Linked DNA regions of Arabidopsis thaliana. The protein of the gene in region 1 interacts with the protein of each later gene in a pairwise test. Each region holds a gene or a part of one and is shown on either strand. Other genes may lie near its edges. The genes, in order: ZF3, AT5G51190 and ARR6.

Region 1 (2,947 bases):
AGGTGACTCTTCTTTTCTCTCGGATAATGTTTATGGCACAATCTTCTATTGCGTTTTATTCATATTGTATCTTCAAAGTGAAAGCCAATATCCCAGGTTGGGAAAATAAGTAGCTTGGCAGCAGAACTTGGCCGTGTGAATGCCAAGGACGAAGGGATGCTCGACGTGTGCCGGGACCTTCTAAACACAATCTCAGCTCTGCAGGTACAATATCTCAAATTCATTATAGATTTGTCTGCACTATACCTACAGTGTTGGGGATTAATCTCTAAACTATGCAGGTAACAGAATGCAGTTTGAGGACACAGGTTACACAGCTACAATAGTAAGGTGGCAAAGTTAACAAAACAGAGTGTAAGTAAGAAAGCTACTCATTATCGGCAATTTTGGAGTTATGAGAATGTAAGGAGATCATCTAATTCAAATAGAGAGGCCAAATTCACTTGATAGTTTAACAACCAAACAAAAGTCAGTTGTAAATATTTTCGATTCGGTTTTCTAATGAATTTAGTATGCTGTTACTTCAGAAACAAAGGAATTGAATCGTATTGTGTATTGGTAATAGAATCAACAAAACTGTTCCTTGAAATTGAAATTTGATATTTACATTTGATAAACTTCCAGGTCTTCAACAAAGACTTACTTCAGGCGAGGCTTCTTAGTCGCCATCGGACTCATCACTTCGTCGTCCGGCGAAAATCCCTGCACCGGTATAATATTAAGGTCAAATCCACGGTGGCTACTACTGCTGACGTGGCTAGTAGACCCCACACCTTCCGAGTTCGAAACGCCACCATCGTAGTGGCACCGCTTGTGGCCGCCGAGAGCTTGACCGGTGGCGAAAGATTTCCCGCAAACCGAACAAACGTGAGATTTCACGGCGGTGGATGGTGTCGATTTATCATTCTCTCCACCACCGTATAAGCTCCGGTGGCTCGCTTTATGACCGCCGAGAGCTTGGTAAGACGAAAACGTCTTGTAACAAACGCCACACTTATAACTCGGCTTCTCCGCAACCGTCACAGAGTCAAGATCGCCGCCATCCCGAGCAAGAAGCATGAGACAGAAAGCTAGATACTCTTCCTCAGTGAGACGGTGGTTATGATGAAGATCAGATCTCGAACGTTTGGATCGTTTCTTACATTTGGTCCACTGCTCAACGCCATTGAATCTTAAGGGATCCTCGACCAATCTTGGTGAATTAAGAGCTTCAAGCGCCATTGCTATAGAAAATTTAAAACCTAATTTGAGAGCAGAGAGATATATAGAAGAAGGTGAAGTATGGAGAAGAATCTTGAGAAGAGAGGAAGTTGCGTGAGAAAGAAGAGTGAGAGTGGGTGGCCAAATTGGCCATTCTAATTATTTTAAGTATTTAGTTGAAACGAAATATGTGCTGAGCAAGTTGTTTGTTGTAAGTTGTAACGAAAGTGAATGTATAATTAAAATATTATTTCAACATTTGGTGAGAGTGGAATATATTAATTTTGGCACGTTTTGTGGGGGAGAGAAATGTTACACAAGTCGGGCTATATACTCTTCTTCTGACTAGTTGAGAGTTGACATTTGAATCCAACTACACACAATAATGATTGATTCTTTAAAACTAATAAAAACCTTGTCTCTAAACTTAGGCCGTATTTTACAATTAATATTCATCTAGCTTTTCATTTATGTTTTAACACTTTGCTTATATATGTAGTTATTTATTTAAGTGTAGGTTTGTTGTACCTTTGGGAATTTCTGAACAAACCCAATAGCATTCATTACTTGGTCCAAACATTTGAAAACGGAGGCAATGTGTGTAGATTAAGATTATAATGAGGAAACCTTGAATATAAAAGATGATTGGATGTTTCGGTAGAGAACTCATGACAACAAGAAACAAAGAGCTTATAACTTAATTCCCACAGCCCATTGCAACCAAGAATCATGAAATTTTCTTTATTGGTTTTAATTCAAATGCGTGAATGTCTAGAGTTGAAGTTACACTAAATTGGATTCAACAACTTGTGTCATGATACGGTATAAGAGTTTTGGTTTAATGGTCTTCTCTTTAGTATAAGGTTTTGGGACTTTTCTTTTAAAGTTAGGATTATGGGTGCTTTTTTCACGTTTAGGTTAGAATCTAAGTTGTATCATTTTTACTAGCTATTTACGTTATAATATAGATTGTATAATTACTTATATAATTAGGTCTTTATGCTAACTAAAAAATAATTTCCAACAATTAATTAACCTAATTCTCTAAGAGTAACCTATCTCTCTCTCTTTTCTCACATTACGAGATCTAAAAGACACATCATGTTAGATGCCTAAAAACGAAAAGCCTAATGAAGTGTAATGATTCTTAGGCTTGCTGCAACTAACGAGTTTAAGACAAGCTACCGAAGCAGATATACCAGCAAAGTTTGGTGGCCTGAGCAACGATGACCTTCGTAAACTCTTGAAAAACATATGGGTCATGCATGTGCTTTCACGAATATAATGTGTGCATATATCTCTAAACCTTTAGTTTTTCCTTTCACAAGCGGAAGGGGGACCTTTTGGGTTATGTTGCAATGGGAGAATCGTCGGTAACAGATTATGCATGGTTGAATCATCAATAGCTTAACAACATCTAGTATAAACTTGTGTGTAATCTTTAGAAAGAAAAAACTTTATAATTAATCTAGTAACGGGATGTTGAAAAAATAGATCTAACAACCAATGAATAGCTAATCGGTGAGATTAATGCATTGTACCTTAACTCAAACTTAGAGACAAGAATACATTTCCGAGCTGTGTTTCTTTGTTTTTATTATGGACAATGACTTTTGACTTATTAAATTTTATCTGTCTCTGTAAGGGTGATCTTAAGACAAGCAAACGAGTGTGAATCTGATCTTGTCGGAATCTCAAATTATTCCGTGCCGTCCTTTGGTCTTCTACTATTACTTTGTTCATTATC
Region 2 (3,319 bases), 3.5 Mb from region 1:
TTTTTTTTACTGGGCAGCTATTTTAGGTTATTTGGAGAAGTGATCATTTATCGGTTTGAGACTATGTGGAGGCAAAATTGGAGTCGCCAGATACCTTTGATCGACGGCGTGAGTTGAATGCGAATGAATCTGGTCTAGTTTTCCAACACTAATCTTACTCCTTGTGTTTTCTGAACTTCAAAGATTTAACAAATTAACAGAAGTGGATGAATGAAACTGAAAACCCGAATCGAAACCAACCCAAAAAACCGGTTTGGGTCAAGTAGGATATAACTAATTTACCTATTGGATCCTATGTAATTGTAATCTTGGGTATCAGGTCGCTTCGGGTATTACCCGATACCCGAACGAGTAACCCGATTACCCAAAATTAGCTACACTTATATGGATAGAAGCTTTACTTACATCGGAAAATCGGACAATATTTTGGAAAATCTGATAATATTTCGGATAACTAGGTAAAAATTTCGGATAATCGGATATAATATCAGTTAATCAAGTAAAACTTCGAGTAATCAGGTACAATCAGATAGAAAAACATTTGAACTGAAAAGTACCGAGTTTATAGGTTATGAAATCTTAAATTCGACCCAAATCCGAATCGATACCAAACCCGTTTTTTATATATATCTTATTGGATCCTAAATTTCTTTACTTAAAAAAACCAAATCCGACATGCGTATCCAAATGTCGAGCACCTAGTGTAGGAGTTAGATTCTCATCCAATGTTTCTTATTTTGGTGGTAATTGTTTTAATGAAGTTAATTCTACCCTTAGCTCTTCTCCGCCTATGTTTGTAGGTCCTCTCGACCAGCACTTCTCCGACTTACCCGGTGTCCTTGGCATTTGTATCCATCTTGCGTTTCTGTATATTATTCGGGCCTATGCATGGTGACAAAAAATCTTGTATCTTTTTTCTTTTCATTGTTGTTCGTCAACAAGAATTTTTGAAGTAAGTAATTAAGACTTTTGTGATTAACCAACATTCGTGAAATGCTCCTCGTAAAACTTTTATTTCCAGCATTTTGTTTATACTCTTGTGGGGGCCGGAGTTTTTCAAAGCTTGACCATGAATTTATTGAACATCTTCTAATCTGATTTATTTGGCAAGTTGTTCTATATAACTTGCATGCAGGAAATTCAAACTTTCATTGTTCAAAATAGGCAAGTTGGTCTATATAAACAACAAAGAAACAAAAATGAAGTAACTTAAATTGAATAAAAGTTTCAAACAATTAAACGAAAAAAAACATAAGTTTCAAATATTGCGGCCAAATCATATAATCCACAGTGTGCCCAAACGAGAATCCAAGGCAGCAATACCATCTAACATAGGCACATAGTCAAGTGGACACATACACATTCGTGCATCCACCTTTTCCAAAATATAACTAAACTTTACCCTTAAAAGTAAGAAAAAAGTGTCAATTTTTCTTTCAAATATCTCTCAGAAAAACATTTTTAATTTGTGTCTGGGATATGAAGAAGCCTGGAAATAGACAATAGCTATGATGATGGACCCTCGCAAGAAAAAGACATAGCCACAAATCCTTCATTATCTTAAAATAATAAATGATAGAGTAGTCCACTTGCCACACTCCAAAGCAACAATAGAACTAAACAAGTCAAAACAATTGAAAAGGATCCTTCCTCTCTCCAACCCAAGAAGCTAGCTACGAAACCTCTCAATCCCACTTTTATATATAACCTCCAATCTCAAAAACCAAAATCCATAATCAAAACCACAAAGAAGACTCCAACATAATTCATCATCTATGGCTTCTTCACATCAACAACAGCAAGAACAAGACCAGTCAGCTTTAGATCTCATAACCCAACACCTTCTTACTGATTTCCCTTCCTTAGACACCTTTGCCTCCACCATCCACCACTGCACCACCTCAACTCTAAGCCAACGCAAACCACCTCTTGCCACTATAGCAGTTCCTACTACTGCACCGGTGGTTCAAGAGAATGATCAAAGGCATTACAGAGGCGTCAGGAGAAGACCATGGGGTAAGTATGCGGCTGAGATCAGAGACCCAAACAAGAAAGGTGTTCGTGTCTGGTTAGGCACTTTTGACACAGCCATGGAAGCTGCAAGAGGTTATGACAAGGCAGCTTTTAAACTACGAGGAAGCAAAGCTATTCTTAACTTCCCACTTGAAGCAGGAAAGCATGAGGACTTGGGAGACAACAAGAAGACTATTTCTTTAAAAGCAAAGAGGAAGAGACAGGTGACGGAGGATGAAAGCCAGCTGATCAGCCGTAAAGCTGTTAAGAGGGAAGAAGCTCAGGTTCAGGCTGATGCTTGTCCATTAACGCCATCAAGTTGGAAGGGGTTTTGGGACGGAGCAGACAGTAAAGACATGGGAATATTTTCCGTGCCTCTGTTATCTCCTTGTCCATCTCTTGGACACTCTCAACTCGTAGTTACTTAAGCTTCAGAGGGTCAAACTGGAAAAAATCAACATTGGATTGTTTTCAAAGCTTCTAGATTAGCTGATTGTAAAAAAATGTTTTACTATATTCATTCATTCTTCTTAAATGCAATTCTTTCTACCCTTCCTTAAACGAGCTCAAACTTACAAAAACTTAGGGAGGTCTTAAACCAACAAACCTGTCTTTGCTAGATCACTATCAATGTCCAGCCTAAAGAGATACAGAATGTTCAAGACGCACAAATAGAAGAGAAAACTAATGCTCCACCAGAGCTTCGACTTCCAGATGTACTTGATGCTAAGGTTGTAACATGTTCACGTCATACAACATGGCAAGATTACGTAGACTATTTCAAGTCACCAAATCAAAGGAAACAACCAGAGAGAAATACTGAAGATGAAAGTGTACTGATTGCATTTTAGTCCTTCACCCTGAGAATGTTAAGACGTTGATTATCAAATGACACCACAAACTCAGTCGGTAGGAATTCTTCCAAGTAAAAAAAATATATAGGCACAAAGCTTCCATTGCAAAATATTTGTGAATACATGATACAATTGAATTGAACAATTTGCTTTGCTAATACCATGTATCAAATACATTGGTCATAATTGACGTCTTGCTACCTGTGCAATTACAGACAAAATGAGATGATTTTATAGTGTAAACAACTACGTGACATATAAACGTCCAGCTGGAAAATTGTTGCTCTACTATAAGAAATTTGAGTCCTTAATGTCGTGTCCCAAACTCTTGGGTGATGAAAAGTTTACTGATTTAAGCATGGAAATGATCGATGATATGCTCTATGACATCTGCTCCTTCTATATGCATATCTTCATTTTTAACCTGTAAACGGCATAACACAGACTATTAG
Region 3 (3,762 bases), 7.9 Mb from region 1:
ATAGGTCATTAAGCTGGCGAGAATCATCAGTGTAGGCTCAAGTGCATTGAGTCTTGAAGCTTCTGTATATGAAAAGGCTTTTTCTAAGATCCAGTCACGGAATTTGCATCGGAGAGCTCAGATCTTTGCGCGTTTGAGCTGCGAGTGAACAGGGTAGACATTCTCTGTTTCTAGCTCTCTCTTCTGAATACTCTTTGTGAAAGACAAATCTTCAACCTTCATTAGAGAATCTCTTAATCTTTTTACATCCGAGAGTTTTACCGGCTTCAGTAAGAAATCTTCAGCCCCTTCTTCAAGACATCTGAATGACAAAATAATAATCACAAGAAAATCAGTTTGAGTAAACTCCAATTTCAATAAAGTTGATGATAGCTTTGGATCAATAAGTTTTTTTTTTGTTGTATATGTAGCAAACAATCATAAAATGGCCAGTTCGTAATTGAGTTGGCCATTGTGTGTAACACAAATACATATTCCTTTTTATTTTATTTGGTCTAGAGGTTTCCTAATATTGTATGCAAAGTGAAAAAGCATGTGAGGTGGCTTTCACAATACCCTACCAAATATTAGGCAAGCAAGATCATGTACTTATTTTATTGTAATATCACATCACCAGAAATAGAATCAAATCCCAAAGTAAAGATTTTGCTGGTTAGAAACATCTTTATACACAAAATCATCTTGGGACCCATTAAAGATCACCAAATCTCAACATTTGTTTAATTATGCAATATCCACCACCAAAAATGGTTTAAGGAAATTAACTTTTAACCATATGAGCAGGAACTTTACTTTGTGATCTAATCCCTTTTTGTTTTATCTAATTCTTTTTTTGATCATCTAAGACAAAGATATTCACCAAATTTACTATAGTTTGACTTAAGATTATGATGAAGTTTTATACCTATCAATACGAGGCAAAATGTTCTCGGAGGACATAATTACCACCGGTACTTCTCTAAAAGCTGAGGATTCCTGTGGAAAATCACGTAAAAAAGGATTAGATAAACATAAAACTCAAATTCCATTGACTAATTATATCATTATATGTTTGTTTGCTTACTTTGATCTTCTTCAAGAGTTCATATCCAGTCATACCGGGCATTGAGTAATCAGTCATAATTAAATTAACCTTCAAATCCTGAAGCACAAATCACGATTTAACATATTGCTTGAGAGCTACGGCAAAATTTTGTTTTCTCTTGGAAATTGTTTTATACCTCAAAACCGACTGATTTTTCCTCAACATCCAAACCAAGGTATTGGAGAGCTCTTGTTGCACTATCAACAACAGTAACTGAACAACCAAAACAGAGCTTTTTACTCAGATAACTTGCCCGAATTCAGAGACTGATTTTTCAAAATATGAGTAATAATTACCTTTGCAAGAAGATACTCTGAGCAAACGCTCGATGAATTTACGATCAACGTGACTGTCGTCGACGGCAAGAACATGAAGAGGATCCGGTGATCCAAACTTTGAAGAATGGTTGAGAATCTCCATCTTCCTCGGTAGCATAACTTCAGCCATTGATCAACGAATGTTGGAGGATTTGGAAGAAAAAGGAAGAGAAAGATATGATGTGAAACCATGGTGGCAGTGGTTGGGCCATTTATATAAGTAGAAAGAAAGAAAGAAAGAAATAAAAGAGGGAAAAAATATGAATGAAATCGAGAGATTTTGCATATCTTTAAGATTTTGTCAATTTGCTTTCAAAATCTTTATTTTATATTTTATATAAATAATAGTTCGGTGGATTTTTATTATTAAATAAGTTAAAACAAAAAACCGAAATAAAGTCAAACCAATCGGTTCAAGTTTAGTCAAAACGAAGAACAAACCAGAAAATTTGGAATGGGATGCAAGATTTAACCGACCCAAACCGATATTCAATAACTTGTAGAATTCTTTTTTTATTTTTAAATTATTTGTGTGTGTTTGTAGTTTTTTTTGGTAAAAGTGTGTTTGTAGTTGAATTGTGGAAGTTCACGCATTTAACTTCTACACTTCAATACTTCATCTACGTAGAAGTTCACTTTGAGGTTTTGACTTAAGCTCAAGACAGAAAAATGTGAAATCAAGAAATCATAAACTAATACTAAAACATTACACGCATCCTTAATCTACAATTAGTAAAACCTCTTTAGATTACCACCTTTTCATTCACCAAAAATATAACAAATTAATACTAAAGGCCCGGCCCATATGATTTGGCCCAGAAGAGACTTTAAGTTTCCTAATACAGTTAACGGTTTACTCAGTGAACCGGAGGGAGACAGCGAGATGAGGCCGGAGATAGTTCTGTTCGGCGACTCGATCACGGCGCAGTCTTTTAGGTCCGGCGGTTGGGGATCTGCTCTTGCCGACGCTTACTCTCGCAAGGCTGATGTTGTGGTTCGAGGCTACGGCGGCTACAACACCCGATGGGCTCTCTTCTTGCTTCATCACATCTTCCCTCTCGTCAGTACTTTTTATCTCTCTCTCCCTCCCTCGAGTCTACAAATGTTGATTTGAAATTTGATCTAAACACGAACGAATTTTGGTAGTCATTGGGATGATTTTGTTCATGAGCTGTTGTGATTGTGTGTATGATCTGTGTGGATATAGATCTTGAGTTATTGTCTCTTGTGCATCATTTTTTGTTTTGCTTATGCTTGTTATGGTTCAGTTCTGAATGGTTTTGATATGATTCTAGGATGTGTTGGTTTTATGACATTGTCATGGATTGGTTGAAGTACGAAAGATTTAGATTTGAATTTTGAGATGGTAAAAGGCAATTACATCTGCATATATCATGAGAACTCTTCTTGTAGTGCGTGTTGTTTTGGTGTGCCTATCTCAGTATGTGTTCTACTCTGTCTTTTTGCCTAGGGCTCTTCGTCTCCTCCTGTTGCTACGACGATATTCTTCGGTGCAAACGATGCAGCTCTCAAAGGAAGAACCAGTGATAGACAACATGTGCCGGTGGAAGAGTACACAGATAATGTCAGAAAGATTGTTCAGCATTTGAAGGTTTTGATATGCTTCTTTGATCCACTCTAATGCATGGACTTACTTTTCTTGAAGTGTGATTCCTTTAAAGACTAATGACTCTGTTTTGTAGAAATGTTCACCTACAATGCTAATTGTGCTTATAACTCCACCACCAATTGATGAAGCTGGACGTCAAAGTTATGCAGAGTAGGCTTTATTATGATCCTTTTCTTCTTTGCATTTTTGTTTCTCAAAGCATTTAGTCCGACATGTTTCTTAAATGAGCCAGTGATTGTGTTACATCAGATCAATCTACGGTGAGAAAGCTATGAAAGAGCCTGAGAGAACAAACGAAACAACAGGGGTATATGCACAACATTGTGTTGCATTGGCCGAGGAACTCGGTCTGCGATGTGTCAACTTATGGTCTAAGATGCAGGAAACCAATGATTGGCAGAAAAAGTACCTAAGGTCTGTATCTAAGTCTGATCTGAAATGTTGTTGGTTTTTCACAAACACTCATCTCCTCCTCAATCATGTTTGTTGTTTATAAATGGTTCTTGCTCGTTGTTGTTGGCTATAAGCAGTGATGGGCTCCATCTCACGCCTGAAGGCAATGGGGTAGTTTTTGATGAAGTCTCGAGAGTTTTTAGAGAAGCTTGGCTCTCTCCCGAAGAAATGCCGTTTGATTTCCCCCATCATTCGCATATCGATGGTAAAAACCCATCGAAAGCTTTTGAAGAGCGTTGCTTATAACGATCATCCCCAAATTCATGAGCAGGTTTGTT

What was found.
Region 2: the proteins of ZF3 (region 1) and AT5G51190 interact in a two-hybrid assay, tested with the Arabidopsis thaliana proteins (one large-scale study listed by BioGRID).
Region 3: the proteins of ZF3 (region 1) and ARR6 interact in a two-hybrid assay, tested with the Arabidopsis thaliana proteins (one large-scale study listed by BioGRID).

Annotation. Positions count from the first base shown.
Region 1 is NC_003076.8:17,330,411-17,333,357, forward strand, and holds ZF3 (zinc-finger protein 3), read right to left. Parts: upstream 1,237-2,947; 5' UTR 1,222-1,236; coding exon 640-1,221; 3' UTR 535-639; downstream 1-534. Other genes in the region: QWRF9 (QWRF motif protein (DUF566)), read left to right, coding at 1-2, 97-204, 282-326. UniProt on the Arabidopsis thaliana protein: Transcriptional repressor probably involved in abiotic stress responses. Binds DNA in a sequence-specific manner and can repress the transactivation activity of other transcription factors.
Region 2 is NC_003076.8:20,799,830-20,803,148, reverse strand, and holds AT5G51190 (Integrase-type DNA-binding superfamily protein), read left to right. Parts: upstream 1-1,711; 5' UTR 1,712-1,775; coding exon 1,776-2,441; 3' UTR 2,442-2,676; downstream 2,677-3,319. Other genes in the region: AT5G51195 (Ta11-like non-LTR retrotransposon), read left to right, coding at 1-43; AT5G51180 (alpha/beta-Hydrolases superfamily protein), read right to left, coding at 3,220-3,291.
Region 3 is NC_003076.8:25,252,628-25,256,389, forward strand, and holds the start of ARR6 (response regulator 6), read right to left. Parts: upstream 1,692-3,762; 5' UTR 1,532-1,691; coding exon 1,381-1,531; intron 1,298-1,380; coding exon 1,221-1,297; intron 1,142-1,220; coding exon 1,064-1,141; intron 976-1,063; coding exon 905-975; intron 302-904; coding exon 118-301; 3' UTR 1-117. Other genes in the region: AT5G62930 (SGNH hydrolase-type esterase superfamily protein), read left to right, coding at 2,207-2,461, 2,873-3,013, 3,105-3,181, 3,281-3,445, 3,562-3,730. UniProt on the Arabidopsis thaliana protein: Functions as a response regulator involved in His-to-Asp phosphorelay signal transduction system. Phosphorylation of the Asp residue in the receiver domain activates the ability of the protein to promote the transcription of target genes.